Neodiprion lecontei: one gene and its partner. The protein of the gene in region 1 interacts with the protein of each later gene in a pairwise test. Links are inferred from orthologs where the notes say so. Each region holds a gene or a part of one and is shown in the gene's direction. Other genes may lie near its edges. The genes, in order: HMG box-containing protein 4; complement component 1 Q subcomponent-binding protein, mitochondrial.

Region 1 (16,927 bases):
CAATTGTTAATCAGTGACTCATTAGATCTTTTGTAATTTTATTAACAACCGCATCAATGCTGGATGAATACTATCCAGAATGCGAAGGAGGATCTGTTGAAAAACATAAAGATTCCTCTCAATTTACCAGTTTTAATTACTCTTTCGTTTTGTTGAATTTGGCAACTTTTTATACCATTCTTTTTGTTATTTATTCCAGGTGGTTTCGGAGCGTTCAGAGACAGATACCCTGAATGGTGCGAAGGGGGTCAGGCAAATGCCGAAGGACTAACTGGGCAAGATCCAAACGAGGGAGAACTTATGGGCCTTAGATCCCTTCGCATTTCAACCCCACCCACAACGAGAGCCTATTCCGATTCTGATAGCGACAGTACCTGTGACTCTGTCGGTGAGCATACAAAATAAAATCCCACCCTAACAAATTTTATTTCCAAGTATTAAACATATTAAATTTTACCAAGCGTTATTTTAGATTATTAATACGAGCACTCGAAAGAATCAGTGTGCCTCTTAAACTTTGGTTGATATCTATTCGTGTTACAGTTATTATTCCAGCTAAGTATTAAATTCCTGGTAGAAATAAAACTCTGAATAATAAGAATAATTTGAACTCTGAAATCAGATATATTTCAGACCAGCAGTTTCTTTGATTATAAACTCACTCTAAACAGGTCGATACCACGATGTGTAACTATCTTCATATTTATTTGTTGATTGTTTAGTAGATATCGCAGTACTTGACAGGTTGAGGAGATCTGTTGAGCTTACTCTTGAGAAGTTGTTTTATGAAGTGTCTTATCATGTGTATAATTAATAAGTATCAAGTTGAACACACAAGATTGCAAACTTACAAAGTGTTTTATTCTCTATGTAGGGCCAGAGGAAGACAAAGACTTTCCAGTGGAAATACTACCGCACTTATATTTAGGAAATGCAGCCAACAGCGAAGACAGAGATGCCCTAGCTCGCCACAGGATACAATATATCCTGAACGTTACACCTGATTTACCAAATGTGTTTGAAGATGCTGGCTCTATCAAATACATGCAGATACCTATCAGCGATCACTGGAGTCAAAACTTGGCCAGCTTTTTTCCTCAGGCAATTCAGTTCATCGGTAAATCATTTTTACTTCGATCATTGGATATTTATAAACGTGTTTTCTATTTCGTATTTGAAAATTATGGGCTGTCTAAAAAAGTTGCATAACGGTAAAAAAGACAGAACTGACTCCAATTTGTTTACCAGTGTGTTTAATTGGATGTACTGTGTATTTTTTGAAGAGATCAAATTACTAAAGTCGCTCACAAACAATGCCAAAATTGTTGCAAACGGAAAACGTACGTAAACCCGCAAATATTATTATTATTAAATAATAATATTTGCGGGTTTACGTACGTTTTCCGTTGGCCGCGGTATACGGGTTTTAATTTTCAGCTCAATTTCTAAGATTTAAGCATTTCTTAAACAGGATTTCCTGTTTAAGAAAGTCGCGGTGGTTAAATTGGGATTCTTATAAATAGAAACTTTCCCACGTGGCGGGCGAACTTACTCTAGACAATTAAACAACGGATATCCGGTTATGCTACAGCACCGTTTGAGAATGAGAGCCCCGTTGTATTTTTATGAAGTATTCAAATTCTATTCTAAATATTTTCATTGTTTACAGTACGAAATTCGCGTTGCGTAATGAAATACGTGCTCCGCAGGCAGCCGCAAAATCCTTCAAACAGTTTCCTGGAGAAATTCCCGCAACTAATTAATATGCTTCATTAAAACGCGTCGATATTACAAACATTTCATAACTTCCTGTCGAATACAATTATAATGTGTAATCGACGAAATATTGGTCACAAGTTTGCTTTACGAACGCTTTACGTTGCCACCTCGTTTATAAGCCTCGATAACTCTCGTGATAATGATTTCTGATTTTTTTCCGTTTCTTTCCAGAGGAAGCAAGAAGTTCGGATAAAGGTGTACTGGTCCACTGTTTAGCCGGAGTATCACGTTCCGTAACAATAACGGTTGCCTACCTTATGCACAAGTGCAGCCTTAGCCTGAATGACGCTTTTAATTTAGTACGAAGCCGGAAGTCAAACGTAGCTCCGAATTTTCACTTCATGGAACAGTTGCACAGCTTTGAAATAGAGCTCAGGAATCGGGGGGATAGAAGTAAAGGCAACGACAGAAGGTGCATCGGCGCCTGCCGACCTGGAGGTCCTTGCAATTGTCCCGTACCTAGCTTTTTAAGTCCTATCGATCTAGGTCTTAGTCCTGATTCAGGTATTGAGTTTGATAGATGGGCGGCTAGTACGCCGGCAGAATGAGACGGGGCTGGGGGGACCCAATACAAATTCTAGGTCCCTCCCAGCTATTCATTCTGCCCAGCTCAGCCCAACGCGGCCACGTAATTGCTACGGGTATACGGAAAAAAGAACGAGGATAGTTTTATTATTTATTCAAAGAATATTTTATCCGAGAAGTTTGAAAGGGTCTTTAACAGTTGAAGATACTTTGATACGCTTCGTTTTAAATTTTTTTCATTTATCCGATAAAAACCAGAAGGAAAAAAATACCTTTATTCCGGAACGCCGTTTGGGTTGAAATTTGAAATTTAAATTTGATATTTCTTTTCTGTTCTTCCGCAATACGTGACTTGTAAACTTCGCGAAGCCTCGGTTACTTTATGATGATACATTGAACGAGTAAAGAAATCCTCGGGTAAAATCTTTATTCGGTATTCTTTTTTGGAGAGCATTCCCTACCCCTTTTCGTGCATAATTTGTCTCAATTTTACATTACGTGTACGGTGATATGCATGAAACAGAAAATTGGTTCAAACTGCTCTAGTGGTTTGCTAGTGTTAGATGAAAATAAAAAAAAAGATAAATCGAATAGTCAGATCAGTACGCATGTTGTTAAAAAGTTGTAACGGCTGCGTTAAAAACTGCTTTTTCTGGTTGTTGAAATATGCATTCGGTGGCCCAATGTACTTGGGATAATGATAATATACTAGTGAAAGAAAGTAAATAACTAATTAATTAATTAATTAAGCAAATGAATGAATAATGAATATCGCAGTCTGAATCATCTGCACATTTTTGATTGATTGTTCGAACTTCAGAGCAGCAACATCACTTTTCTGCAATATCGTCCTACAGATCTCAAGAATATATTAAAAAATTATTTTTTTAAAAAAAACCAAAAAAAAAAAAAAAACAAAGAAAAAAGCCAACACATTCACATTCCCGTCGCGAGCCTAAATCTACATGGCTGAAACAAACTATCTCAATATATAGTATGTATTTTTCATCGAACATAATTGAAATTAATATGAATATATACAGTGAATGTTATTTTTCATGCAACTAATTACAAAGTTAAGATGAACCGGCTCTTGATCACTCAAGACCGATCGTTTATCTGTTAAGGAAATATATATTTGACGTTACTATAATAACAATATTCTACTACTACACCGTTGTCTGTTGTATGTTTAATGGATTGAACGTCCGAAGAATTAAATCAAATATGTATATTACATAAATTATTATTTTATATTCGTCGTTGTACATATTTGAGCTCATTTTTATTTAGATATACAAGTTATCTTACCTCATGTGCGACTTTTGTTTTATCACTGTCACTATTACATGTCATCAATTTCTCTGTCACTCCAAATTTCCCCGTTAAACTATTCGGCATTTTATTCGAATTAAATAGAAAAATCATAGAAGCTTACAATGCTGACAATGTTGAATCAAATACTAAAAAAAAAAAACGTGATCTGCATTGAATTCAAGACATTACATGGGTAGTAAAGTTCACTGATAAATTAAAAACTACTCCCTGTGGGTTGCTTAGGAGAAAAGAAAAAAAAAAAAAACTAGAAAAATTCTTGTATCAAAGGTCGCAATTATTGTCAAATTTGGTAGCACACGCAGACGTAAGATTTTCTCCAGCAATGCTAGAGTTGTGGGACAATCATTAAATAATTTTTCGCCTCTTTCATTTAAAAGTGCTCTCGATAAATTTGAACACTGCTTTTATTCCAAATGATGCTAATTTTAATGGGTAACACGTAGCACACTCTACTACACACTGTACATGTAATGGATGTAATCAATCAATATTCACACAGCAATTCAGTAAATAATGCAAAAATATTATCATAAATGAACATTACATAATTGATGCAGGTCTCGCGTGAACAAGAAACCGTCCCAATTCCACGAATTGGAGCCAAATCATTTCGAGAAGATATGAATTTGTTGCCTAAAAATTTTATGTAGACTATTCGAGTAACTAGGTCTCTCATAACCAATTACGAAGAAATCGTGAGTTTAATTATTTTGAGAAATTCGAATTGCCGAATGAATATTTTCTCCTTCAGTATTAAAAATACGAAAGTTTGACAGTAAGAATTCTTTACATAATTAGATCAATAATTTGCTTGGAACAATTAGAAAGTTTATTTTGTGCAGGGCTATTGGTCGAACATTCGGACATTGTCTTGATAACAGCCAGTGCACTTTCGCACTGTCGCACAGCTGTAATTAATTTATCACGATCCTCGGGGTCTGGTGTTGCTGCCAAAATTGTACCCAACCCAACGAGCCCTCTGAATATTGCTTCGGGCTCAGTCAAGAGCGGCAAAACGGCAAACATCACATTAAGTACTCTTGTTCTGCCAGGTGTATCGTCAAGTTTATTCAATGCCACTATTAGATTAAGCAGGTAACTCGCTATCGCAATCTGAAACAACAGTTGTAAATTGATTAATTGTAGGATTGAAAACATGTACGGATAGAAGCTCTAAGAACGTTGGCGCTGATCAAACCGTCCCGCATGTCAGAATAAATGTTGAAGTACCGGTTATACCTGGTTATGTTTACTTCCAAGAGACGAAAGGTCGAGTATCGTCTTGAGTAACTCGTCTTTATAATGTAGACCCAATGCTTCACCCTTACTATGGCAGAACATATTAGCTAGTACTCGAAAAGCTAGCATTTGATTAGCTGGAAGTGCATCAGTTTTGATGTGCCGCCTCAGCACCGCCAATAATCCGTCATTGCATAGCTGCGAGTTAACATCTGGTCGAAGTACAGCCAGCCTTGCAAGGTCTAGTGCTGGGAACACCAAGTTATTTGGCCAATTCAAAAATATTTTCAACATTTCAATTGGATCAGCTCCAACCTCGTCTCCGTTTTGACTGCACAATCGTTTTACAAATGGGTCTAAGCATTCCTCCGAAACTGTGTGAATGCCATTGTCAATCTTTTTGTTGAACTCTAGTAATTTTTCTGGAAATTTTAACAAATTATTTGTTGTATATTTTTAGTAGTAACAAAATTACTGGTATTTTATGTGCAAAAAATATGCAATCATTCATCACCAGTGATAGCTGGAACATTGGCTTGCTCCAATTTCAAATAGGTAGTATGCGGTATATATGTCTGCGACACAGAACTACTGGAAGAGCTAGCCGACGGTGTTGGCACATTATTTGGTAATGTTCTTCCAGGAATTCCAGATCCTGGTATGTACCTATTTCCTCCTGTAAAAGGATCAGCGAACTGGGGTTCGGCGTTCAGAACTGGGGCAGACTGAGAATTATTTACAATGAAGTTTGCCACCTGCAAACAGGAAAATGTCATTGAAGGGTCTTCGTAAGCCATGTGCATAAGACATTTTGTTTGATAAAATTGATATCTTGCCTGTTCAAGAAATAGTTGACTAAGGTTATTATCATGGATAAACTTTTGGGCCGCACACCAAGGATCATCGCCATTATTGTAAGGCAACTTTAGAGGTGGAACACCGTCTTGAATGTCGACTGAGAAAACGTAGTCGTACTCCATACCATTATACAATTGTTTACCAGATGTGGCTGGACTACCACCAGAGGCACCCATCACATCTCCCACATGTTGCCACTGTTTGCTTGATTGCGACCAGCTGTAAGCCTTGACGGTATTTCCATCTCTTATCATTTTTGTCTGACCATCTCTTTGTCCAGGTTGATGTAGAGCTTTGGCATCTGGCAGACTGTGGGTCACCAGGAATCATCATTGTTAATGTTTTTGATCAAAATACATAAGATGTTAAAAATTTCGCACAATCATTCTAAAATTATGTCATTTTAGAACAAGTCAATGATGCGTAGGATTAAACGTACACCCTTTCCTTCCAGAAGTAATATTCAAAGATGAAAGAAAAATTTGACAAGAAACAGGGAAGAATACCTACTCACTAATCTTGATGCCACCCAACTCCTGCTCAGCATTAAGCTGGGTATTAGCGATGGCCTCGTCGTACTGTTGCAAAGTTGCAGCATCGGCATAACGTTCAGGTTTAGCAGAGAAAATTCTAACTAATCCATCGGAAGATCCAGTGACAATGTCTCCATTTGGCAAAATGTCAACTGACCATATGGACTGCGCAGGGAGTGTTAAAGTCTGTTGGATTTCAGCGTTGTGCCAAATCCTAACAGTCCTATCTTCTCCGGAAGTAACAACATGTGAACCGCCCAGCAGAAACGTCGATGCTATTCCATACACGTAGTTCGTGTGCCCACAGTAAGTGCCGAGGCAAGTCCCTAGGGATACACTCCAATGTCGAATGGTTGCGTCATTGGCACAGCTCAAAAACTCTTCGTCCTTGATCACGCATATTCCACGAACGCAATCTGTGTGTCCTGAGAACTTGTGGAGTATGGTGCCATTTCTCCGCCAGGCTATAACCAGCTTGTCAGCCGATCCTGAGACTATGACGCCATTGGCCAAATCTGCCACACACCAGACAGCTGCCGTGTGACTGGTCAGAGTCAGTTGTGGTGAATCCAGCTTGTTGATATGCCATAATTTTGCTGTAAGATCCCACGAACTGGATAGGAATGTTCCCTCCTCCTTACCTGCACTCAAATTGCACACAGTGTTTTGGTGCGCCTTTATAGTGTGCAGCGGATTCTCTTCCCCAGGCAGGTAAATGCAGATATTGTTGTCGTTGCTCCCAGTAATTACAAAGCCATCCGGGAATTGTTCAGAGGGGTTTATTACGCATACTGAACTCACAAAGTTGCTGTGACCCTTTAGCACTGCGGATTCCGTGTATCCGGCATTTAATCTGAAAGTTAATTATTGCGGAGGGTCAAGCATCATGAAAACCTGAGCAACGAAGCGAATTTCCGTTCGCTAGTCAACTATGGAACAACCAAACGGGGAGCTTGACAATGAAAAGAAAATCCCTCATTTACACGTTGCCTCGATCACAGGGACAATAATAATTCGTTGTGGGACATTCAAAGGAATATAGGTTAGAGCTTCGACATACTCATTCGGCCTCCAAAGGCGAGCGGTTTTATCGCGCGAGACTGACACCAGACTTCCATCCTTAAATGCCGCTACAGCTCGCACATCAGAACTGTGACCAACTAACACGGAACTTAATTTATACGGTGCTTCTTCCATGATCTATCAAAATTGATTGTACGAACCACTATAAAACTGCATCTATCATCTACTGTCATCCACGCCTGTGCTCACGGGCGATGTAGTAACGCACATTGTCCGAAATTTTCATCAAATTCGTTGTCTTAGGTGTCCGCAACGCTCTGCTGGTGGCCGTGAGTCAAAACTTTAAAAAGGGCTGAAACTCTGAGTCAAATTTGATTTAAACGTGAAATAAATAATTAACGTACTCCAACACGCGTGGAAAATATCATTATTTGTACGGTAGACTGCATAGCCTTGTTCGTTTTTTACAAGATGCGTTCATAATTATAGCACGTCGATTATTGATTTCACGCTTCAACCGAATTTGAGACGAATTTAAAAACTTCGAGAATTGCCCGATGTCTAGCTATTCATATCTAGCTGTAGCGTAAGTTCTCTACTTTTTACTCAACCTATGGAATACGAGTAGCAAAACACGTGTGTTGCATCGGATTTGATGCTTGTTTGACGGCAGCCTCGCAAATTGTGAAAAATAAATAACGCATTATTGTGTGCTAAAGGGTTGATAAAAACGAAAAATCGAAGATGTTGAGAAGACAAGCGCGACTGAGGCGGGAATACCTCTATCGAAAGTCAGTACAGGACAAAATGAAGACGATCCAGGACAAGAAAGAGAGGTTAAAACATAGCCTAGAAGAGAATACTCCGATCCATCACGACCTAAGGAAGAATGCATTGCATTTGCAAAAAAAAATCGAGTGGGAAGATGCAGGCCCCGAAATGGCCGTAGCGATCAGTACGGAGATGGGAGGAGCAATCGGCACGCACGAGGACGACGAATACCGATGGGCAGGTGTCGAGGACCCGAAAATAGTTATAACGACATCGCGAGACCCCAGCTCGCGGCTGAAAATGTTCGTCAAAGAGCTCAGACTCATATTTCCAAACTCCCAAAGGATGAATCGCGGTAATTACGAAATGAAACAGCTAATTCACGCCTGTCGTGCCAATGACGTGACCGATTTTATCATGGTGCACGAGCATAGAGGGATTCCAGACACCCTGGTTATCTGCCATCTGCCCTACGGACCTACAGCCTATTTCACCATGTCAGACGTCGTCATGCGTCACGATATTCCAGACATTGGAACAATGTCTGAACAGTATCCGCATTTAATATTTCACAACTTTAAAACTAAACTGGGACAGAGGACTGTCAGCATATTAAAGCATTTGTTTCCTGTACCTAAGGAGGACAGCAAAAGGATAATCACTTTTGCTAATCACGACGACTATATTTCATTCCGTCATCATAATTACAAGAAAATAAATGGCAAGGATATTGAAATGTCTGAAGTCGGTCCCAGGTTTCAACTTAAATTGTACGAAATCAAATTGGGCACATTAGACAATGCTGCTGCTGCTGATTCAGAGTGGGCGTTGCGACCGTACATGAATACTACTCATAAAAGACGGTTTTTATCTGAGGAAGATGGGTGGCAACAGGAAGATGACTTTTAGATGCACTTCAAGTCAGACATATGGTTTTTTATAAATAAAATGAATTTTGTATGTACAGCTATGAAATTGCCTTTTTCTCATTTACCGTAAATCTAACCTTTAATTTTTTCTAAACATTATGTAACTCGATATTCAGTGCATTAAATGGAAAATATTGAATGTTTGAATCATCTGCTCTTTTTCAAGTAATTTACAATTATTAATAACTCATTGATGATGTCAGTTTCGCGCGCAAATCGAGTCGCCACGAAACAGTAATTCAACCTAGATGGACGGATCATGCGCACTACAGTTTCGGTTGCAACGCTGCAGTTGTTTTTAAAAGATCAGGGTAATTGTGTGTGTGTAAAATTGGTCTAATTTAATTACGAGCACTGAAAAAGAAGTACGATCATTTAACTAAACTTGAAGCTTGTTTTAATTTAAACAACCCCGTCATGCAGGCGGACATTCGAAAACAAGTACCAAAACTTGAGAACCCCCAAGCACAGCGGCGTAAGAAACATTTCGACCAGCTCGACGAAATGGAATCGTTCGCGTCCCCGAAACGTCATCAAAAAACGGATGGTGAGATACGTCCAAAACGCGTATATAAGCAATTTGGTTAGCTTAGCTGCATCCTAAACACTACTGTGTCAAAATTTACGTAGACATTGGCGCATGGATTTTATTCATTTAGTAGTAACGTTCGTTTTTGCGATTTAGCCTATTCTCCGTATCATGTAGTTTCTCGTTCTCTTGCCACGTAGTTAGCGCTTGTGTATTTGTCGCGGTCGGCGTTGGAACTAATTCATCAGCGCGTAAATTGAGCGCAGTTTGGAACGGATCGATAAATTAACATTCAATTATTTAATTCAACTTTACTAATATTTAGAACAAATTTTCGCATATTATGTTACCAAATTTTTCACAATAAGTCGCACGTAAAATTTTTCCAATACCAGGGTCGTCGCAAACGTGAAAATTTCTATGTAGCCAAAGAATTCTATTAAATACCCTGAAATTTAATCCCATTCTAAAGTCAAGCCACTCAATTTGAGTCAATCATCCTATGAAATAAAGAGGGACCTGAGAACTAGATTTCTGTTCGTAGGGAGTAATACATTTGTATTGTGTTCAAAAAATGCTGTCTGCAAATCAATATTATTATTATAATTGCGAATAACAAAGTAAATTGTGTAAAGTTGAAATTTAAAACAGTATTACAGGGTGCTATTGGACTTTGTTCATTCAATGGTTCCCAAATAATTTCATATCTCACTTAACTTGATAAGCATTTTCTTATTGCTAAAAGAAATTTAGAATTGTTTAAGTTGGAATGTGATAATTTTGACGTATTGAAACTGTAAATTTCTATACTTTGAAACAATCTGAGAGAAATCATCTCTTTGTTCCTGAAAACTGGTTAAGCTTGAGAATCTGGAAAAAAAAATTTTGCAACAACCCTGTAAGTTTACATCGTAATTAACTTTGGCAAGAAAGTTGCTGCAAGTAATACTTTATTTGAGTTACACCCAATATATAGGCCGACCCTTCATCAGTTCTGACCAGTAAATCCAATTTGCGTAGTGAATCCTACTTTTCAATAGTTTGGTAGTTTTGAAGTCTTTCATTTGGATTTAAAAGCGTAGTTAGATGTAATGCGATGTGTTTTTATCCCTGATCCTCTTTTGGCAAGATCTAGTTGGCTTTACATTTCAGATTTAGAGGTTACAGGGATATCACGTAGTGGTCGCGTGCGTAAAAAGTCCTCTAAACTTATGGACTTTGAGTCTCCTGATGACATAGCAGACAATAAATACAAACGACAAAAAGCCCAACAGTTACACGCACAGCATTTGCTAGAGCGTTATGAGGCGCATCGTCAGCAAGTTACTCAAAGTCATTCATCTCAGCATGGAGACGCCCCTGTTCAACGGCAACGCAAAAACTCTGGATCCCACATCGGCAGAGTTAAGGCTGAGCCGTTGTCCGAAAATGAAGGACACTCCTCTGGCTCTTATTCTGAAGATGATACGGCAATGAACGAAGAGGAAAGATATAGCTTAGAATCTGGTAGTGATGATGAAGTGGATCCCTTATTGATTGATGATAGAGAAACCGGATTCAGGAGACTTGAACCACCCGGTCAGGAAGCTCCCTCACAGGCAAATAGTTTGTACATGCTTGAGAAGTGCAAGAAGAAATTAATTATCAAGGATGGTAAGATTATTGGCAGAATGAAGGCTCAACGAAAGGATAAGGGTGTAAGTAAACTATAATATCTTTTACTTTTCAATTATTCATGACTACTTTTCAAACGTAAGAGAGACAAATCATCCTAAAATTAACCATCTGGAATGTTGCTTTGCTCTTGGATTGATAAATGAATAAAATTTCATCTTACAGAAAACACGCTTCACAGCCTATATGCTGTGGGCAAAAGAGATAAGACACGAATTAATGAAGCAATATCCTGAAATGGGTGAGTGAATATTGATGTTGATACGCTGCAGTAAAATCGTATACTATGCTCGCTATTTAGTAGATAAAAATAGTGGCTAGTTATGCTCTGAAGTAAGATATAATTTTTTAAAGATTTGGTATGATGTTCCTTACGTCTCTTTTCATTGAGAAGGTTTCAAACGTTGATAAATATTACTGTTTTTTTATGATATGACAATCTTCAATATCAATTATTTAATTGATCTTATGTATCGTGAAAATGAACAACTTTCCGGTTACATGTTGAAAGAGATCTATTGATTGCTTCAGATTTTGCAACTATTTCAAAGCGTCTTGGTGAATTATGGGCAACTGTGCCGAACTTGGAAAAGTACAATTGGAGAAGACGGGCGAAACGTCTAGCGTCAAAGCCCAGCGCAGCAATCGCAGTCAAAGATGAATCAGTATGGAAAATGCCTCCACCTTCATCGAAAAAGAAATTCATTAACAAAATTGGTAAAGGACATGTTGAGGATCATCTGAAAGCTCAATTTTTATGAAGCTGGTTTGCCAATATTAAGTTAACTTTTGGTCAATTTTCAGGAAACGGTAAAGAAACAAAACCTTCCCCTTCAAAAAAGACAATACAGCTTGGAGTACCTTCCGTGGTAGGAAATATTCCAGTTTCACCACCATCTAATCGTGGTGGTAAAGATCTAGTAAATGAGCCAGTCATTGGAACAGGAATGTACAAAGTGATAGGAATGCAGCCTGTGGATGTAGCTGCTCATTTGAAATTGCTTGGTGAAAGTCTGACGATAATTGGTGAACGATTAAAAGAACACGAGGGCCAAATAGCGGTTTCAGGTAGTCTTTCGGTTCTGTTAGACTCACTACTCTGTGCTCTTGGTCCATTAATCTGTCTTACGCAACAAGTCCCAGAGACAGATGGTGCAAAACCTCAAACACTTTCTCGAATGCTCGACAATATTGCGTACATCATGCCCGGTCTGTAGGCATAGTGTCACTAATGCAAAGAAGTGAAAATACAGCATTGTATTATGAAAAATATAGCTTTTATCGAATTAAATTGTTTGATACTTGTGCTTATGAGACGTCATACAATAAATATATGCTATGCTGAAGTTAATGAGTCGAGATGATATGTCTAGTACAATCTTAAATCCTAATCTTGCATTAAATATTTACACATAAATAAATAGCACTAATTATGGGCAACTAATATTTCGGCAGAATCTGTGGACATGTACAGAACAGATTCTTATCGCCGTATATGTCATCAATTCTTCCAACACTCGGCCAGATCTTTGTATCGGTTTTCACAAATGGCTGCAACAATAAAACATTTATTTTAAAAACGATTAAGTGCACAGAAAAATTATACTTTTTTATAACTAATTGAGAAGGTAAGGATCTGAAATTCTTCCAGTGTTTGAGAAAGAAAAGTTGAAGATACTAATAGTCTATTAATTTCTTACAGCGGGAAAGGCAGCTTGTTCGCGCGTATATGGCCTGTTCCATTCTGAGCAAACAACATGCTCCTGGGTATGTGGTGCCATTTTCAAAGGATTTATTTGGGAATCTAGTTTACCATTTTCTATTTCCCGAATTTCGTTCCTGATGCCTGTAAGGGGATAGTATTATTTGAAAAATGAAGAACAGTATGTAGAATTATTTAGAGGCCAGTAAACAATAGTAACTTATTAACGAAAACGTACTAATCAAAGCTTCGCAGAATCTATCAAGCTCTGGTTTATCCTCTGACTCGGTTGGCTCTATCATCAAAGTTCCAGTGACTGGCCAACTCATTGTTGGCGCGTGAAAACCATAATCCATGAGTCTCTTAGCAATGTCAACAGCCTCGACATTGGCTGTTTTCTTGAAATCTCTCACATCAATGATAAACTCATGTGCTACGAGACCAGTGGTCCCCTTGTACAACGTCACGTAATGACCTTCTAATCTCTTGCTCATATAATTGGCATTAAGAATTGCTACTTGAGTTGCCTTCCGCAAGCCTTTCGGTCCCATCATCTTTATGTAGGCCCATGAAATTGGTAAAATCGCGGACGAGCCGTAAGGTGCCGCAGAAATTGTTCCTAAACTCTGTTTACCGCCATCCGTGTCATCAGCCAGTGGGTTGATAATGGGATGAGAAGGTAGAAATGGTGCGAGGTGTTTTTTGCTATAAATGAAAAAATCCTCATCATGCCCAGTTTGATTTTAGTCAATTTTTGAGAATCATCTTGTACTACTTACACCCCAATTGGCCCTACGCCAGGTCCTCCACCGCCGTGTGGAATGCAAAATGTCTTGTGTAAATTTAAATGTGAAACGTCGCTTCCGTAATCACCAGGTCTGCACAGTCCAACCTGTGCATTCATGTTAGCTCCATCAAGGTATACCTGCCCTCCACCGTTGTGGACCATTTCGCAAATATCGGCAATGGTTTCTTCGAAGACACCATTGGTGGATGGATAAGTGATCATTAGACAGGATAAATTCACTTTGTATTTATCTATCATTTCCTGTAAATGAACTATGTCGACAGAACCATCTTTTCTCACATGAATCGGCTCAACACGCATCCCTGCCATTTGTGCTGAAGCTGGATTTGTGCCGTGTGCAGAAACTGGTATCAGACAAACTTGCCTGTGGGCATCACCCCGCGATTCGTGATAACACTGGATAGCTCTCAATCCTGCGTATTCACCTTGCGCACCACTGTTTGGTTGAAAACTAATCCTATCATAGCCTGTTATGGCACAAAGATCCTTTTCAAGTTCCGTAAAGAGTTGCTGATATCCTTCGGCCTGCTCGATTGGTGCGAAAGGATGTATATCAGTGAAACCTTTGAAACTGGATGGCATCATTTCGGTTGTTGAGTTCAATTTCATTGTACAAGAGCCCTGCAATTCAAATTGAAAACTTATGAGCATGCTGTAACGTAAATAGCGTTTTTGACCAATGTTTCACTCCAGCTTTCACTTACCAGTGGAATCATACTATGCACGAGAGAAACGTCCTTATTTTCTAAAGACTTCATGTACCGTACAATTCGAGTTTCAGAATGATATGTGTTGAAAACTGGGTGCACCAAGTAAGGTGTTGTACGCATAAATGGGGAGTCAATGATGCTGTAAATTCCTTTCGAATCACTTTCTACAACTTCTTTAGCCGTCATCTTTGAGCCAAATATTTTGAGAAGATCATCAACGTCTTTCAGTGTAGTCGTTTCATCAAATGCTATTCCAATTGACCCGTCATCGTTATACCTTGAAAATCGCAATAGTTGTAGGAAATAAGATTATACATCATCTACGTGGTCTTGATTACTATAACACTACACTTGCTTACCTCAAATTAACTTTAGCTTTTGTTGCTCTTTTTCTTACAGTTCCTTGATCATCTCGAGGCAGTACAGTGATTGTGTCAAAGAAGTGTTCGGTTTGGACTTTGTTGTTTCCCGCTTTTAATCCACCAGCGAGAACTGCAGTTAGATTATGCACTCTGGTTGCTATATCTCTCAATCCTGATGGTCCGTGATAAACTGCATACATAGCGGACATGTTGGCGAGTAGAGCTTGAGCAGTGCAGATATTACTTGTAGCCTTGTCTCTTCTGATGTGTTGTTCTCTGGTTTGAAGTGCTAGACGATAAGCGTCAACACCATTGGCATCCCTTGTTACACCGATCATCCTTCCTGGCATTAACCTTACTAGGCTTCGACGACAAGCAAAGAACCCTGCATGTGGTCCCCCGTATCCCAGTGGGACACCAAATCTCTGACTTGTACCAATGCATATGTCAATTGAAAAGTCGCTGGGTGGTCTGATCAATGTTAAGGAAAGCAAATCGCTCGCTGCACACACCAAGGTCTGTAAAAGAGAAAATTCAAGATACTTTAATAAGGGATTGCAACGACACAGCGATATCTAAATGAATTGTGGACAATTTAGATCTGAAACGTATTTCATATTTGGGCAATCAACCACATTGTTCTATGCAAGAAATATCGCTTACTCCATTAACATGGGCCTGTTCAACAACATTTGAGAAGTCGCGAATCTGCCCTGTTGTATCTGGATACTGTAAAAGAATTCCAGCAATATCTTTTTTTGCCAAGTCAACTTTAAATACATCTCCAACTTCGATGGTCAGTCCCAGCGATGTAGCTCTTGTTACAACAACATTTATCGTTTGGGGATGTAATTTATCAGACAAAAACATTTTCTTTCTTCTAGTATGCCTGTAAGTAAGCGACATCGCTTCCGCAGCAGCAGTGCTCTCATCCAGAAGAGAAGCATTCGCTACTTCCATCCCTGTTAGCTCACAAATCATAGTTTGGTAATTTAAAAGCCCCTCCAATCGCCCCTGAGAAATTTCTGGTTGGTAGGGCGTATACTGTGTCGTCCTAGGAATGTAATTGTCAAATATGAATACGTTTTAGTTAACTTCGATAGGATTCTTAACGTTATTCAGTTAAGATTCTTATTAATAGTTTATTGATGGATTGTAGTACACACAAACAATTGTTGCCGAAATTGGTGCTCTGACACATAATAATAACCATGTACTAAATGATAAGTTTGCTTACCATCCTGGATTCTCGAATATGTTTCTCAATATTGTATGTGGGACGCTACAGTTATGGTACCCCATACCGATATAGCTACGCCAAACTTGATTCTTTTCCGAGACCTCTCGAATTCTTTTAATTAATTCATACTCATCTGGAAATGGAAAATTTGATCGTGGATACGGAATTAATAAGTATTCAAGTAATCAAAATTTTTTTCTTTCTTCGTGATTATTGCCAAAAGAAATTGTGAGAGAATTAGGTTTGATATTCGGAATGAATATATGTGTAAATACGAGTCATCACCGACGAGATGATAAAATTATTTGAGTCTGTTCTAAGTTGTTATTAAATTCGACAAAATCAATTACGAAAATTGTCAGATGTTGATAGGAAAAGTACGTGAGTACACATCTCAAGTCACAGTTTCACCTCTTGACCGAAGATAAGTATGCTCTTTATAAAAAGTGATTATATCAGCTATGGAACATTCATTTATGCGATTAACTCAACTCTCGTGTCCCCTATCTGACCTCACGTGTTCTACCACAATTTGTTATTCGAATAACCATACTAGATTGTGTGTATTATGTTTCTTATCAATTCATTCCACTTCTCATGTTTAATGTGCAATATCATTTCTCCGCATAAATAACGCGATATTTTTACATGCTATCCAACTCGTGTCTGCATGGAAAAATTTCATTGAGGAGAAATAGTAAAACTGAATTTTTTAACTCTATATTTTTATCGGTGATGAATTGAATCTCACCAAATTGTCAAGTGTGAAATTAGAAGAGTTTAATGCAATCGTCACGGCTCTGAAAAAAAAACTCACGGACAGACCTCTAAGCTATTCGATTGGCAAAGTACTATACTTAATTATTACGAGTAGATCGCACAATATGTGAGGCGCAACATGAATAAC
Region 2 (15,811 bases), on another chromosome or scaffold:
ATATTTTCGTTGTTCGGATCTGGATGTTCGGTCAAGTACCGTTGTATCAGATCTCTGGCTTCTTCTGCTGTGAACCTGTAAATATACTTAATGAAATTTCCGCAAGAAACTTTATATTACCTTCACTAAAAAACTGGATCACAATTTTACCTGAGAAACAAGTGGATTCTATCCACGTATCTGCAGAATAAACGAATTGGATGAGCCGTTTCAGAAGCTACATCTTGGAAAGTCAGAAAATCGTTGGGCATTTGCGGTGGCCCAGCCATTTCGCTTGCTCTTTGCAAACCGAGCACGAGTAAGTCCAATACCAAGCCATAGTATTGTGCTATGAACGAAGCGAATTGCAGACCTCTTATAATACCGTAACTGTTCGTGTGATTCATGTCCTGGAAATAAGGTAAAAAACTTTGTCAATCGTAAAATCCTGAAGAAAATACGACAGTCCTGAAATCGATTCAACTTGTCATCATCTTGGAAACTGTATCAGGTATGAGAAACCAGTACAGGGCAAAAGTGATCGTTACTTTACGAGGCACTAGTAGAAGGCTGACAGATAATTGAATTATTTAGCAATTTCTACATCCTCGAAATTTCATAATGTAAAGAATATGGAAATAACAATTACCTTGTAATTTATGACAACGTTGTTCTTTGCTGTCATGTAATCAGCGATATTGTGATCAACGATGAGCCTGAGGAGTCTGTTCAGCAATGTTAAATCAATTTTTTCGTACAATTTCTCAAACTTCGACTCAAGCAGGACGTTGCACTCGCCTTCACTAACATCCCACACATCCTGCAAGTTGTTTATACCCTGACACCACTTGTACACCAAAAGTGGAGGCGGTTCTGTATCAGATGGCTTTACCCAGGGTGGGAAAAGTCTGCGTTTGTCCGCCTCGTACCAGAGATACTGATCCAGGTACGCATCCGTGATTTTTTCCAACGGCTCAACGTCATAGACGGGAATCAGGTGACTGTAGAGATCCATAAACTCGATTCCGACCTAGAAATAGATCGCGAAGTTGAGAGAGAGGACATTTTTGGGGAGAAAAAGTTATTTTCCATATCAAACAATTCAGGTTGTGCTATTTTTCCAACTAAAACAGGCCAGATGTTCATCTCAGACAAACATCTGCTCACTGAACCAGAAGTCAGCCTCACAAATGGCTGATTTCAGACCCCTACACAAATCTGTCATCATGAATATTCAGACCAGAACAGAGTAATGGTTTTGTACATTAGCAAAAACAAAAACACACAATAAAAGTTTTACGATGCTTACCTCTTTGAACGCCCTCTGCGTCAATAGATGACGTTTAATCCTTGACAACGCCTCATGAGGATTGTCGTAGGCTTGTTCAATCAATCCGAGTTCCTCTCGCTGGCTCTGATTTAACCTTGACTTGACGCTGTAGGCTTCCTTCAATCTTTCCAAAGCAAGAATCAAAAGTTTCGTGTCGTGTTTGTAAGACAATGGTGGGAATGGTATTGGCGCAAATCGACGAGACTCAAGCCAGTGAACTGTCGTTGTATAAATGGCAACAGCTTCTTCTGGAGAGATGTACGGTCCATCCTAAAATTAATTCGACCGCAGAAAATTAGCATTACTTCGTGCGTCAGGTATTTAATCGAAGAATCAACCTTTTAACACTCACTTTCAAGTAATTGTGTTGCCTCTCCTGCTCTGCCTTCAAGTAGAGTCTTGTCAGACGTCCCAAGTTCTTTTTACAGACTGTCTTATCGACTGTAGCACCTCGCCTAATACGTTCGCGATTGTAATGTGCGGTGTTAGTCCACCAGTCAGCCTTCATCTTCACGTATCGAAGAATCATATTTTCGATCGGAATAGGCAGCCCTGGAACCTATACAAAAAACAAATTGTCACTGAAGAGTGATGAAAAAAACGAATCAAGAGATGAAACGGAATCAAGTCACAAACCTTCCATGGAATGTTAGCTTTCCAGCATCTCCAAGCCTCGCTAAGATGTTGAAGAATTGTTCTGGCTTTGTTCTGTTTAATACCTTCAGGCATCATGTCAACGATGTCGTGCATCACAGAGGCTCGCAATTCGAGATCGAAGTGCGACTCGACTCGCTGTTTGGTCACAGTCTTTGCAACCCCTTTGGAATGCCGTCCCTCGAATTGCCTAGACAAAAGATTACCAAGCCAGCGTTCAAGCAGCGGTGTGATACCACGCATGAAGAATAGCCACACTCTCCATCCAGGTGCCCAGAATCCACATCCGGGACCTTTGCCTACTGGACCCTATCATCAGCACACGAAAAAAAGATTTTTTTGTAAAACACGAGCTTTACAGAGTGAATAAATTCAAGAATAGGGAAACGGTACGTGAAAAAAAAAAGCAAAAAAATACTCACAGTGTTAAATCTGTAATAGATAAGGTGCTTCAAGTCTTTGCACATTCTAATCTGCCTCATCAGTTTGTACTTGTAGCGATACATGCCAGTAAGTTGTCCGACATGAGCAAAGATGTATTGAAGCCCGTCAGCGAGTTGAAAGGCATCAACGTTGTTCAAACGGTACTGAACGTGAGAATCGATAATCAGTTTGGTCAGTCGGAGGATTTCACGACACAGATGGAATGCTGAAAGTAAAAACAAGCATTACGACTAGCACATTACAGTCCAAACTTATGATCTTTGACATTTTTACCACTCACCATTTCCAAAACGCGACTTCTTTCTCTCTTTGGTGGTCAAAGTCTTGACCGGTTTCAAGTTAAAGTTATAATCAAGATGAAGATAGTTCAAATTCTTTCTGTGAATGAGCAAGTTCAACATATTGTATCCCTGCCTGCATACTTGAAGACCAGCTTCTACCCAGTCGATAGTTGTAGTCTGGAAGAACTTGGTCGATTTGAAAGACCTGAAGAGGTATCGTTTTTTCTGTGGCTTTGGAGGCCTGTGTTTCAATGCATTCAGGACAAAGTACTTTAGCAATTTCTGGTAGCTGACACGAACTTTGACTGGCTGTCCTGGTGGACAATGTTCGCGGTACCAAGATTTTACCAGGGGAATATCAATCGCTCGTCTAGTTCTGCCAGATCGCGTGTTAAACGGACGTGGTGCCCAAAGCAAAGCAATTCCATTAGCCGTGTTGTCTGTATAAAGCGGAGTCTCCTGCAAAAATGGCTGAACCTCTTCAGGCAGTACAAAATCTTCATCTTCTTCAAGAAGAGGCTCCATTGTCTACGGAAAGAGAGGATTTTCTAAAATTAAATTGCGAATTGTGGAGATTTTGAATGAAACTCGATGAATAAAATACAGTGTCGTCATTTTGGAAACTCCGTTAGTCATGCTGCGCTAACGCAGGGCAAAAATGACCCTTCATCTACGAGCTATTTTAGTTGAACAACTCATTGAACAGGGATGTCGACGTGGAACAGCTCGAAATCAAATATGATAATCTCTACACAGCATTTATTAAAGTGCAATGGATGTACCTTCAATGAATTTCGGTGTGAAATCGGGTTGATCAATGGGTCAAAATAAAAGGCAGGTAAATCTGGATCCTCGGTCTTGATGTAGACAACGTTAGGAGCGTGGTACCTGCGACCAGGATGTAATTAAACAAATACAAGGATAGTACTGTTAAAGTTAAAAATTTGTCTGTGATTTCAGCAGTCGCCCTCTCTCCTCTACGAGGGTGACGAATAACGATCACTAAATATTTTACCACACGGCTAGTAAGACCACATATAATTTTAATATTGTCTTAAAACTGGTGTGGATATCAATATAATAACAGAATCTTCAGAAATTTAAAAAATAATCTGCAAGTAAAACTACCTACCACGAAAGATGAACGAAGTGTGGCATGTTGTTGTACAGATAAGGAAAAGCGATACGATATTCCGTACGAATTGGTTGTCGGATGATTATTTTATTTATGTCGTTGAACTCGTTCCAATCCTCATCAGCAGCATTTGAATCCTTCACAAGGGGCTCAAACTTAGGACCGCCAGGAATGGCCATGTTCAAAGCTTTTGCAGTAAAGAACGACTTTGGATCAAAGAGGTAGAAGAAATTTTGATCAACCAAATCAGTCAGCAGCTGATTGGCCAACCGATATAATGTTGCCATTTGTGGAAGGGACAAGTTCCACTTACGATAAGTTGATCCATTAACATGCCTGGAAATTATTAGAAAAATTTCGTTGCATGAAATAATTTTGGTCATGTTTCTTCAGGCTGCTAAATTTTGAGTATATACGTAAGTCTATTTCAGATTAGCGTTTGATCCAATCACAACGTTGCATTTGTTTTATCTCAGACAAGCAAACAACAACGCTGCAACCGTCAGACCACATGAATGACTGATTTCAGGACCCCTACGCGATTCATCATGAAATTGGTGTATAAATGACGTATATTGTCAGGAGTTGGGCAGCAGGTCATATATTGACGCCAAAGCTGCGAAAGGTCCTGATATTGCTAATGAAATAATTCAGTTCACTTTCAAGAAAAATTTCAGCTGAGCTCAGCATCATAATCAAGCATTTACTTACTTCGTCCCAACCAAAGGTTTGTGCTCGTAAAACCATGTAGCAACCGATTCGTCTTCCTCCGAGTCAAGCTCGATTTGTATGGCTTCCAAAGGCTCGACATCCAACACATTGTCTGCATAATCTAGAGGCGGTTCTTCGTCATCGAACGGAGGAAATCTCATTCTTTTGAAATGTCTTCTGTCTCGTTTCTCACGCCTCATCATGATCCACATTGTTCTTAAAATTAAATTCACTAGATTTTAATCACGATCAAACATTGGGCCGAAGTAATTATTTGACCTTTTTTTCTCTCTTAACAAAGAGCTGGAAATTCTTTAAAAACTCACCCCCACTGAGCGATATAGACTGGTTCAATGACCCATGGAATTTCATTGACAAATGTGATGGCTCCGGTGATATGATACAGCACTTTGACGTCCCGAATTTGTTCCCATGGCATTGGCATGTTTTCCAACAATTTCATCACAGCATGAGGCATGTATTTCAGAGCACTGTAATTAATATAATGACCGTATAACAAAAGGTGAAGACAAAATTACAAACAAAAAATAGAGCTTCATTGAACACTGATACACGATAATTACCCCAAATAAACACGTTTGTCATGTCTGTATTTTCGGCTGCTCATATCTCCATGATCTCTAATAATCTTCCTTATGTGCTCAGGCGGCATATCCTCCTTCTGAGCATCGACGAACCCAAATTTACGTTTTTCCGCAAAACGTTTGGACTGTAATTGCTGCCACTTTTGAGCTAAAATTTGCAGAAAGTGGGATAACGAAATCAAGTTATCTAATCATATGTGAACAGTTTTCATCAATGAATGTTATTTGGAAATATATCAATTTTTTAGATGTTTTCTTCAATCACTAGAAAATAATACACATGCGTAGAGGACCTTTTCTGTCTTTCCAACATTAACAATAATAATCCATTCTTACCTTTTTCCTGCAATTTATCTTCGGAAATAACTTCGGGCTGCTTAGGCAGCTGCGGTAGCGGCGGCCCAGCCATTGCTTGCATGTGAGCATGATGGGCTGCCTGAGCATGAGCCGCTGCTTGCGCGTGAGCTTGCGCAGCTGCAAGCTGAGCGTGAGCCTGCTGCTGGGCCATCATGGTGGCCCATGGGTTTGGGCCCAGCAAGTAAGGCGGTATAGACATTTTGACGCTGACTTATTTAGCTGAAAAGAAATTTTTTAAATCTTTGATCAATCAGCTAATTATTATAGAAATTATGAGTTGAAAAAGTAGTATAACTAGACGTAAATGAGCATATAAGAAATCGTGCCAATTGACCTAGATATCATACAATCCGAATTAAATACGTGAAAGTAAATCAATACGGAAATACAATGTGGCAAGAAAATGTCACGTAATCTGTCAATCATTTACAGAGTTATTGAGTAATAAAAATGCGGCGTTGAGGCCTGTAAATACACATCCTTTGGTTATGGTTGACTTCCATTGTCAAATTGGGATCTTAAAAGCTTTTATTACTTTTATTCGATTAGTGAAATAATTATGATATTTTTGAGGTTATATAAGCAAAAATTTCCGCTTAGTGATCAGTCAAAATCGACGCCGACCGTTGATTTTCATTGGCGAGAATGCGGTGAGGACAAAAATCGTCAGCCATTTTGATCACGAGAATGTCGTGAGTGTTGTATTTACCTTGGTTTCTGTTGCAAATAGGGTATCGCTAGTTGTTCAGCAACATCGCGCCCAATTTGCTCTTCCAATTAATCAACTGGTGTTATTTGGCACCTGATTTTCGTCCGTCTATACGTATCTTTGCGAAACGTATCTCCTACGTTTACAAGCCGACATGCCGAACGAAGACGAAATTACTCGAATACTCGAAATCAGTAGCGCCGCTACAAAATGGCGGCTGCGTTTACTAAACTCTTTGTAACACTGAGTCGACTTCCGGTCACTAAGGTTACACGCATCAACCGTCGAGAAAAATGCCTGCACTTCGGCGTGGAAAGTCCACTGAAAGTCACATTATACGATAATAATTTTCACCCCATATCCGCGTCTAAGTATACCTGACTAGTTTGTGGTTTTGAGCTCACCTTAGTGAACATCCGGTCGGCGAACAGGGTAGAGGCAAGTATGGTAGAGGAAGACGAGAATACAAGAGTGAACGTAGCCTTGACGCAACCTTTTCCGCGCAAGGAGTAGCTTGATCGCGAGCCGTGCCAAGTCGTGCATCAGCCGAATTTTAGAAAACAGTGTAAATTAATTACAACAATTATCAACGGCGGTATAAGCCAGAAGACAGAAAGATGAACGGATTAGTCAGAACCGCTCTGAGGGCCTCAACTCTCAAGGGATTAACACAATCTACCGTTGTTGTCGGCGGCACGGCACGAAGGGATTTCGCAAGAACGATGTGGAACATGTGCAGCCGGCAAAACGAACTTGCACCACTAACGAGTTACAAAATTCAAAATCCCAGCGATTTTTGCAGCTGCGGCTGCTCCCGAAAGGCACACACCAAAGGTTAGGGTCATTTTTCAATGTCACCTCGTAACTTCTCCGCCCGAAATATAATTTACTATTATTATTATTATTACTATTATTTGGTTTTTTTTTTTAGTGATAATTTTCTCTCTATTTATTCAATTGCAATTTTTTGTCATTTACATGGTTGATGCTATAGCGGAGAAAGAATTGGGACTCTTTTTAGCTGAAGAAATTGTTGCGGAAAAGAAGGCACAAAAAATGAAGACCATTCCCACAGAGTTAGACGGCTTTAAGATATCGTTAGATGGAGCGGAGGTTACGCTCACCAAAAAACATGGAGATGAAACGTAAGCCAAAAATTGTTTAGCGATCTTCTTGCTATAGTTATTACAATTTTGTGACAAAAACTTGACTGAATTCGTAATTTTTTAGCATAACGATAAATTTCAATGTCAATCATACTGTCGATTCTGATTCTGAACCCGACATTGACACCCCAGAAGACAAGGCTGAATTTGGAGAAATGAAAAGCAAGCCAAGCTTCGAAGTTGATATTGAAAGAGGAAATCAAACTCTAGGGTTCACATGTTCATTCAATAATGAACCGCAAGCTTCTGGTGCCGATGATGGCTACAGTAAGTTTTTTTTTCCCTCCCATGGACCAAATTAAATTTTAAAAAAATCTCGCCATTACGAAATATTGAAGTTACATTTTTTTCTTTATTTTCAATTTGACTAAATTTACGCTGCATTCTGTTTTAAAATTGTGGTTGATCGGACGTGAATGGTATCCAAAGCGTTGAGTACAAATTGACAAACTTTTTGTCTTTTTGATAATTTACCTTTGGAAAAGTAAAGTGCTACCGTTGGCATTGGGTAATATCATAAACAACGAAATTATCTCAGTCACGGTGGATCGACAAACCCTTATAAAAGTGCAACATTGCAACTTACGTAAATAGAAAAATGAAAATTAAACAGAGTAGTAAGTTCACTACATGAAAGAATTTTGACTTGTGTCCTGTGCAGACGATATCTTTGGCATAGACGAAATAACATTGTACGAAGGAGAACACAATGACAAAATTTATGCTGTCGCTGGTGATGTTATTGATGGCGTAAGTATATAATAACAGATATGGCATAATACTGAAAAAAAATTTTTTCCCTTGCAACGACATTGTAATGAAAATAATCATTTCATTCGACAGTATCTTTATGATTTACTGATGAACTATCTTGAGGAGAAAGGAGTGTCAAACGAATTTGCTGAGAAACTGATCGAGCTGAGTACGACCTATGAACATACGGCATACATCAGTTTACTCGAAGGTCTCTCAAAATTCACATCTGGAAAATAATTCCGTTATTTGAATGTCTGTCGAATGTCCGACATGTTTACCATTAATCAGAAGAACTGTACTGTATAGTCTTAGGTCTCGTAAATAAACTCTTCTTACATACGCCAATTGTGTTTCCCATAACTTTCCTCTCATCTCTGAATACAAAATACGCATGGAAAATAAGGAATTAAAATAAAAAAATGAATAATTTATATGACATTGAACACGTGTTTGATAGTTTTCTATACATTTATATTACACATATGTATACACACATTCTTGATACTTGATAAGGAAATATGGAATTCAATTTGCTAAACTATTGGCTCTGTAAGAAAGTTGAAATCATTGTGCTACGAGCCAATTGTTATACATTTAAGCTAGTCTCGAGTAGAAGCTTTGAAACGTTTTTTTACATTTGGCATTCCTAAAGCAGAATGCCTTGGAAATATTCAATTGATAAACCTGAGTGTAATCAATAAGAAGCATCGAATGTCTCTTTAAAATTGCTGAGTGGTGACAATAATTAAGAATAATCTTTTCAGGCATTAATAATCGAGGTTTAAGCTTACTACCTTTACCGCCACACAAAGAGTTTAAAATAAGTAGCTATTGTTGAACATATATGAAGCCGAAGCTAGCAGCCAAACGTGTTTAACTTTTTAGAAATAGAGAAATATCGTTCAGTTTTATCAACATAATTCTATTAAAGTGTCGGGAGTTCGAGGTATTTAAATAAATTTAGATCTTCGTATTTCACTACCTTATCCGAACGAACATTAGAAAATTTGGCTCCTAATTCCGGCTGCTAGCTTTAGCCTTATAAACATATTGCATAATGAAATCATTCATACCTAGAGATATAAAACAATTTTACCTGAAAGTAAATTCATATAAATTACTTCAATCTTTGTTAATAGCTTTTATTCTACTGAATTAAGGATCCGGCGATGCATGCTTCTGTACCGCCGCCTCACTGTTGGTAACTTTATGAGGTACCGATGGGATCGTAACTTGTGCCAGCGGCATGCACGGCGAGCAAAGCATAGCTGACATCCAAGACGATATTGGCATCCACGGTCTATCGACTAATTGTCAGCTGCGAGGCGGGGCTGTTTTCTCCTGATCTGTACCTAGGTAGTTAGCTTCCACATCTTTAATCTCTATGTGCTGATCCTTCATAGCTTTCTGAAATTTGAAAGATGGAAAATCATTGGTTGCGAGAAAAAAGTACAGAGCTGAATTTGAAACTGAGGATTGATTAATCTTGAGGTTGACATAGTTTATCGAAGAGATTTCAAGTTTTCGTTTCTTTGCGTCCAACTCACCGCCACGCACTCTTTATAGACTTTGAGCAAGCTAGAGCACATCGAGTCGTTTCTATCGCCCTTGAGAAATTTTTCAGAGAACCAATAATTGAAACAAGCGTCGTATTTCTGTTTTAATTCACTGCATGCTTCCATGCTGACGTTCGGCTCAGTCTGGTCACGGTGACAAAAACCTATTTTGAAATAATAATAACTAAATAGTAATAAAATTACCTTTACGCACTGCTGGTAGACTTTGAACAAAGGAGCACACATGGAGTCGTTTGTTTCCCCTTTCAGGAATTTCTCAGCGAACCAGAAATGGAAACACGAGTCGTATTGCTTCTTGAACTCATTGCACGTCTCGCCAATACTGTTCATGAGGAGATCTGTGCTACTCGGACTATTTCTGAAAGCAGACCCAACCGACTCCAACACGGTACTTCCAAAGCCTTTGGCTTGCATTTTGCATTTGCTGATAGAGTATTGAATCGAATCCTTTAGAGTGAAATTACGTTTTTTACAATGTAAGTCAAAGGCTATCCTTGATAGATATTCGATATTTGGCTACAACAAATTTAGCGTTAGGTTATGCCAAATGCAAGCCACTAATTGAATATAGATGGTAATATTCATATACTCGAAAACTTGACAGATTTAATTTATTGACAAGTGCCGCAAACAAAACGAAAACAGCGTCTTTATGTCTTAAAATGACTGACGAGAATCAACATATTGAAAAATTTTAAGGTTAAAGTTTTCGAGACAGAATTTAACCTTAAATATTTTACATCATGATAATTGTAACAACTGAGACAACAGTGTTCTTTCATATAACGTTGAAGGGCCTGAATTTGAGGTTACGTTGTTCACTTTTCTTTGCGAACAGCCGAATGATTGCACGTAGGCATATTTTTTTATCAATACGGCGCAAAGACTTACCTGCGTTAATTGTTAATACGGAGCTAGATTGTCTCCTGGAACAATTTTATGTACTCTCTGATTGAATTAAAAACGCTCGTACGATGTGTCGTAAATACATAAAAAGCACCGTGGTTTTGATCGTAGAATCTGAACTGTCAAACGTCGAAGACAAGCTGAACGGACAGAGATTTTCACGAGGAGCGAATGAAGCAACTGAGTTAGTCGCGTCTGTAGCGTGCGTTAAAATATATTCAAGAATTCAGCCCATCGATTCTGCGTGCTCGACTTATCACGTTCGGAGTGATTGTGCCAGATTGTGCTGATTGTAGGGTCGAAATTTTCGGGTGCCTCGACTTTCGAGAGCCCGGCTCGTGTTTTTCATGTTTCCGAATGCTTCCGAATGTTTCCGATTAGTTTCAAAAACCAATTTCGTGTCAGATGGCGCCACGAAATTGTGTCTGCACAAAAAACGCAAAGGCTTCTCTTTGCACGTCGCGTGCGTTTTCCGGTTTTTGGTTTTGCGTCAAAAGATCCGGCGCTTTTGGGCGCTTTGGAGTATTGTTGACAAATAATGTACTTATATCTACCTACGTAATAATACCGTTCCTCAACGAGTCATTATATTTGCATACAGGGAGAAGTTTTCAGGAAAAATAAAGTCTGACATAAAATATAATCTTATCTTATGAAATGTGCGGTTAATAAAAATAGCTGCTGGGGTTAAGTTCACGTTGTTGTTTATGCTTACCCTCATTTATTCCTTGCTGGTTGAACAATAATCACTTGTCACAATGGACGACCAAATTTGTCCCCGTTGTAAAACGACCAAGTACAGAAATCCGTCGTTGAAGTTGATGGTAAACGTGTGTGGACACGCGTTATGCGAAAGTTGCGTCGATCTCTTGTTTTTGAAGGGTAATTATCGATGCTCACAGTTCCATTACATCGTTTTCCATTCTAACGCTTATTTACAAACATTCAAATACATGTTGTTATTATTTTCTCTTGTAGGCTCTGGCGCTTGTCCCGAATGTCAAATACCGTTGCGAAGAACAAATTTCAGGATCCAATTGTTCGAGGACTCGATGGTAGAAAAAGAGGTAGACATCCGCAAGAGAATACTCCGCGACTTCAACAAAAAAGAGGAGGACTTTACAACGCTGCGAGAGTACAACGATTACCTCGAGGAAATTGAAACGATAATATACAACCTGGCCAACAATATCGACGTAATAGAGACGAACAAGAGGATAGAGCAGTACAAGAAGGCGAACAAGGAACAAATTTTGAAAAGCAAGTCCAAGCTGGGCAGGGAGGAATACGAGCTTGAGGAATTGTTAGAGCTGGAAAAGCAGCAGGAGGAGGAGCGGAAATTGGAGTTGATAAAGCAGGAGGTTGAAATGAAGAAGAAAAAAATACGTGAGAAAGAGGCTCTCATCGACGAGCTAATGTTCTCAGAAGCGGACGCCGCGAACATTGTCGAGACGTTCGCGTCTACGATCCAGGCGACCAGAGAGGAAGCTAAGGTCGTGCCAGTCGCAAAAGTAACCCAATTCAGTACCGGAATAAAATTCGGCAGACAGGGTCAGCAGACATTCATGCCTGTACCGAAAGTCGAGGAAGGTCCTACCTACTGCTACAAGCGTATCGAGCAGGAAGTCGAAGGTCCGCATCCTCCTGGCTGGCAGGAAATGGAATCTGGCGGATATATCGCGCACGTCAGAAGCGAGAAGCCGGCCGAAAAAGCCGGAGGCTTTAAGTCGAACATTGCGTGTTTGAGAGCGCTTCAGGAAGCGATGGCTGGGCTGTACCACAATCCCTCGCAAAGACCTCCCGAGTCGATGGCAATCTGACCCTACGACTGGTCATAAATTGCCGACGGTCTCCCGTCAGTTTGTTAAAAACTCCTGACGATATCGACTGACTGCGATGAAAACTAGCTTATTATACCCAAATGGTGAACAGACACTCCCAGGCTCATGTAGTATCGTGTAAATAATATATTCGTGGGCTGCTTTCACAACGAATTATACATTTTGTACGGCTGTACCGCTTTCATTATATTGTAAGAAATTGTTGACAATTTAATGCTTAAAAAGATGAGGATGATAATAATAATAGTAATTATCGTTGGGTGGAAGAGTTTGTAAAAACAAAATAGAGGTATGCGATCGGTAGTTTGACGTTTATTTTCTTTGCACAATGAAAATATTAAAATAAACAGAGGCGGTAAATTAGCGAATAAGCGACGTTCCGACAAGTCAAGTGATTCGGATTCAAATCTGCCCTAGCCTCCCGGCATCGAAGTTGGTACGACGATTCGTTAACAGATGGCGCCAGCGCTGAGTGCCAATAAATTCGTGCTCGGCGGTTAAATCCGAAAGGCGCGGGGTATGTATAAGGGAAGAAATGTTACACACCGTTTATGCACGAGGTCGAGGAGTGTCGGCGGCGAAAAACACTTCGGTAGATTAATTTATTTGCATTTCATGAGTGCAGCGCACGCCTCGGACGTATTTATCGTCCGGAATCAACATTTTTACCGAATTCCAGCCGAGGTTCGCCGATCTTTGGATACAGCTTCGCGTAAATAAGGTAAGACAATTTTCAAATTTTGCGTGCAGCGGCTCCTTATTTCCCGACAAAAACTGAAGTTAGTAACGATTCATACCTCGTAATTTTAGAACTGTTTGAAATACAGTAAACCGTAATAAAACGTGACATGTACTGATATTTGCAATCATAGTTCCTTCGAAATCGTTTGTTAAAATAAGAAAACACTGATTTTTTTCTCAACGTTTCGTTACGATAACGTTGCTAACTTCAACCTCGTCTATTTTCTTATTTTCACAAGGGCAATCGATCGGTATGTTTTTTTGTTTTTTTTTTTATTACGGTTCACCGAATTTCAAACAATTTCAAGATGAAGAAGTAAGGATTCTTCCTCAACATGAATCGTTACTAACTTCAGCTAATCGTTTAGACGCCAATTTGGGGGGGGGGGGGGTCAGGAAAAAAACGAAAGACAGTCGAAGATAAAAATGGCGCAGCGCTTCCGCGAATTCAGTGCGCCGCTGCCGGAGTTTGCGGTTTTTCAAACTGTCAAGAATTTGTCACGGATTTGCCGGGCACCCGTTGTAAAATGATAAATTAGCGTTCGGTGCCTGTAATAATGATGATGATAACACCGCGGTGTTCTCTGAGCCTGAGCTTTCTCTCCTCGTGTATCCGTGCTTTTACTTGCGTTATAACTCTTATATTACGTGCCCGGCGTCTCTCCGTTCTACCGGTATAGCTGCGATAATTGAAATTTTGATTTATGCTGAACCTCGGCGATACTCTCGTCTTGAAAGCTGCAGCCGCCCGCCGAAACAAAACGGAAAGAATTGCCAAATCGCCTTTCGGTTACAAGTAAGTTGAAGTCGACTCGCGGTTACGCGTATTTTCACCACTATCGAAATAAAATTTTCACAATTCTTCGCCGTTATGTATTATTCTCTGTTTCTTTCTTCTTCCTCTTCATTTCCCACGAGTTATACACCGTCGTTATATTTTTCACGAATTTATTTAAATTTGTGTCAAAACAAAAGAAAAAACAATTTTCGAGTGTCGTGGTTTCTATTCGTTTCACTTTTGTTTCTTTCAACTTTTTATATCCATCCCATCTGCACGCGAGATTCAATTGTTAATATACCCAATCAATTAACGTTCTCAAATTTTAATTTGACGTAAAAACTGAACGAACTCTTTCATAAAAATAAAATAATTGAAATTCATCCCGTCAATTGAAAAACACAATTGACTTGACATGAGAGATTGATGAAATAAAAAAATAAATAAAAAATAGTTGCGTATCTCGAATAAAAATTTTTTTGAAGAAAATCATCTTGCTTGTCCATGAAGATTACGAGAAAAAAAAAAGTAAGAAGCAGAAAAAATTACAATACACACAGAACTCAAAGGTGCAAATCTCGAGGTAAATATTATAGGTATAAAAATTCGTCACACACTTAACGCTCATTTTCTTGTATTTGCATCGTGATTTGTCTCCCCTCAAGTATCTCGGAGTTAAGAGTCACGTCAACTTGTAGATACAGCAATTAAAAATTAATTACTCTCGTATATGGGTACACACAAGTTATACATAAATGCATATATGCTACATACACATACACACATATATATATATATATATATATATATATATATATATATATATATATAATATATACGTGCATGTGGTATAAATACCGGTATGAGGTGCAATCAACGCTTTCGGCGGTTTTAACAGTGTAATATTTACAGAGATTCCCAAGTAATTTGTCGTATATACATATATATATATATATATACTTGTATATATAAACATATATGCATATGTATGTATAGGTAATATCCTGGCTTTGGAGTCTCGTTTTTTCAAGGAACAGATAAGGATTATATTATACCGCAGCGTTATACTAGGTCTCAGTTTGAACTGCGGCCGTTTTATTTACATTTTATAGTTTCATCTCTTTCCACGAGTATTTCTTTTTCCTTTTTTTTCTCACACACCTTTTAAGAATATTCCCGAGATATCTTCAATTTTTTTTTCTTCGTACTCACATTTCCTTCTTCCTTTTCTTTTTTTTTTTTTTTTTCTAATCCCAATTTCTTTCTATTTTCACTTTTCAGGTATAACATTCGTCGTGTGCTTTTTAACATTCTCCCTTTCTTCGCGCGCGCGCTGTTATTTGCGCAAGGTAAATAAACCCTAAAATATCGAAACGGTGTTCGTCATATTTCTCAGAGATACGAGTTATTTATTGTATTATAGACAAACACGCGCACGTCTATGTATCCATACTACGTACATGCATACGCGTATCGTTATTGCCTCGCCTTATTTTGCCGAGATCAAAGCGTTTATCGTCGTTTCATGCCGGCGTACAAATATTTTATTACTTAATTATACGTATACATGTGTATATGTGTATGGGACATTCCACGCGAACTCGTAGTAAACGACTGACCCTGATATTTTTTAATTTCACCAAGTATTATTTCTACGCAAGCACGACCCCTGAAGCAAAGCTTCGAAAAAAAATTTTTTCAAATCCATCCGATTTCCGCCTATTTTTGCAATGCGACGAGCTGCGCCGAATTTAAATCATCCGTACCGCGCCACTTGACCCAGAAGCAAAGCTGAGCTATTCAAGTATTATGTTATACCTATACAAGTTGCGGTTCGAGGA

Evidence for each region.
Region 2: the proteins of HMG box-containing protein 4 (region 1) and complement component 1 Q subcomponent-binding protein, mitochondrial interact in a two-hybrid assay, tested with the Drosophila melanogaster proteins (2 studies listed by BioGRID). The link is inferred for Neodiprion lecontei from reciprocal best matches to the Drosophila melanogaster genes CG4617 and P32.

The regions. Positions count from the first base shown.
Region 1 is NC_060263.1:38,124,709-38,141,635, forward strand, and holds HMG box-containing protein 4, read left to right. Parts: upstream 1-9,275; 5' UTR 9,276-9,412; coding exon 9,413-9,542; intron 9,543-9,674; exon of another isoform or gene 9,675-10,422; intron 10,423-10,676; coding exon 10,677-11,221; intron 11,222-11,363; coding exon 11,364-11,439; intron 11,440-11,729; coding exon 11,730-11,915; intron 11,916-12,002; coding exon 12,003-12,415; 3' UTR 12,416-12,549; downstream 12,550-16,927. Other genes in the region: dual specificity protein phosphatase Mpk3, read left to right, coding at 200-388, 875-1,117, 1,951-2,327; phospholipase A-2-activating protein, read right to left, coding at 4,429-4,755, 4,882-5,303, 5,396-5,636, 5,718-6,048, 6,250-7,125, 7,333-7,469; U3 small nucleolar ribonucleoprotein protein IMP4, read left to right, coding at 8,040-8,975; glycine dehydrogenase (decarboxylating), mitochondrial, read right to left, coding at 12,639-12,749, 12,899-13,044, 13,139-13,605, 13,680-14,329, 14,413-14,695, 14,778-15,298, 15,444-15,834, 16,018-16,153.
Region 2 is NC_060264.1:1,828,409-1,844,219, forward strand, and holds complement component 1 Q subcomponent-binding protein, mitochondrial, read left to right. Parts: upstream 1-6,623; 5' UTR 6,624-6,822; coding exon 6,823-7,039; intron 7,040-7,199; coding exon 7,200-7,350; intron 7,351-7,435; coding exon 7,436-7,638; intron 7,639-8,032; coding exon 8,033-8,121; intron 8,122-8,214; coding exon 8,215-8,364; 3' UTR 8,365-8,472; downstream 8,473-15,811. Other genes in the region: pre-mRNA-processing-splicing factor 8, read right to left, coding at 1-75, 151-389, 629-1,009, 1,289-1,579, 1,662-1,868, 1,946-2,272, 2,386-2,612, 2,688-3,216 and 6 more; TP53-regulated inhibitor of apoptosis 1-like, read right to left, coding at 9,442-9,534, 9,888-10,118; CDK-activating kinase assembly factor MAT1, read left to right, coding at 11,369-11,492, 11,589-12,430.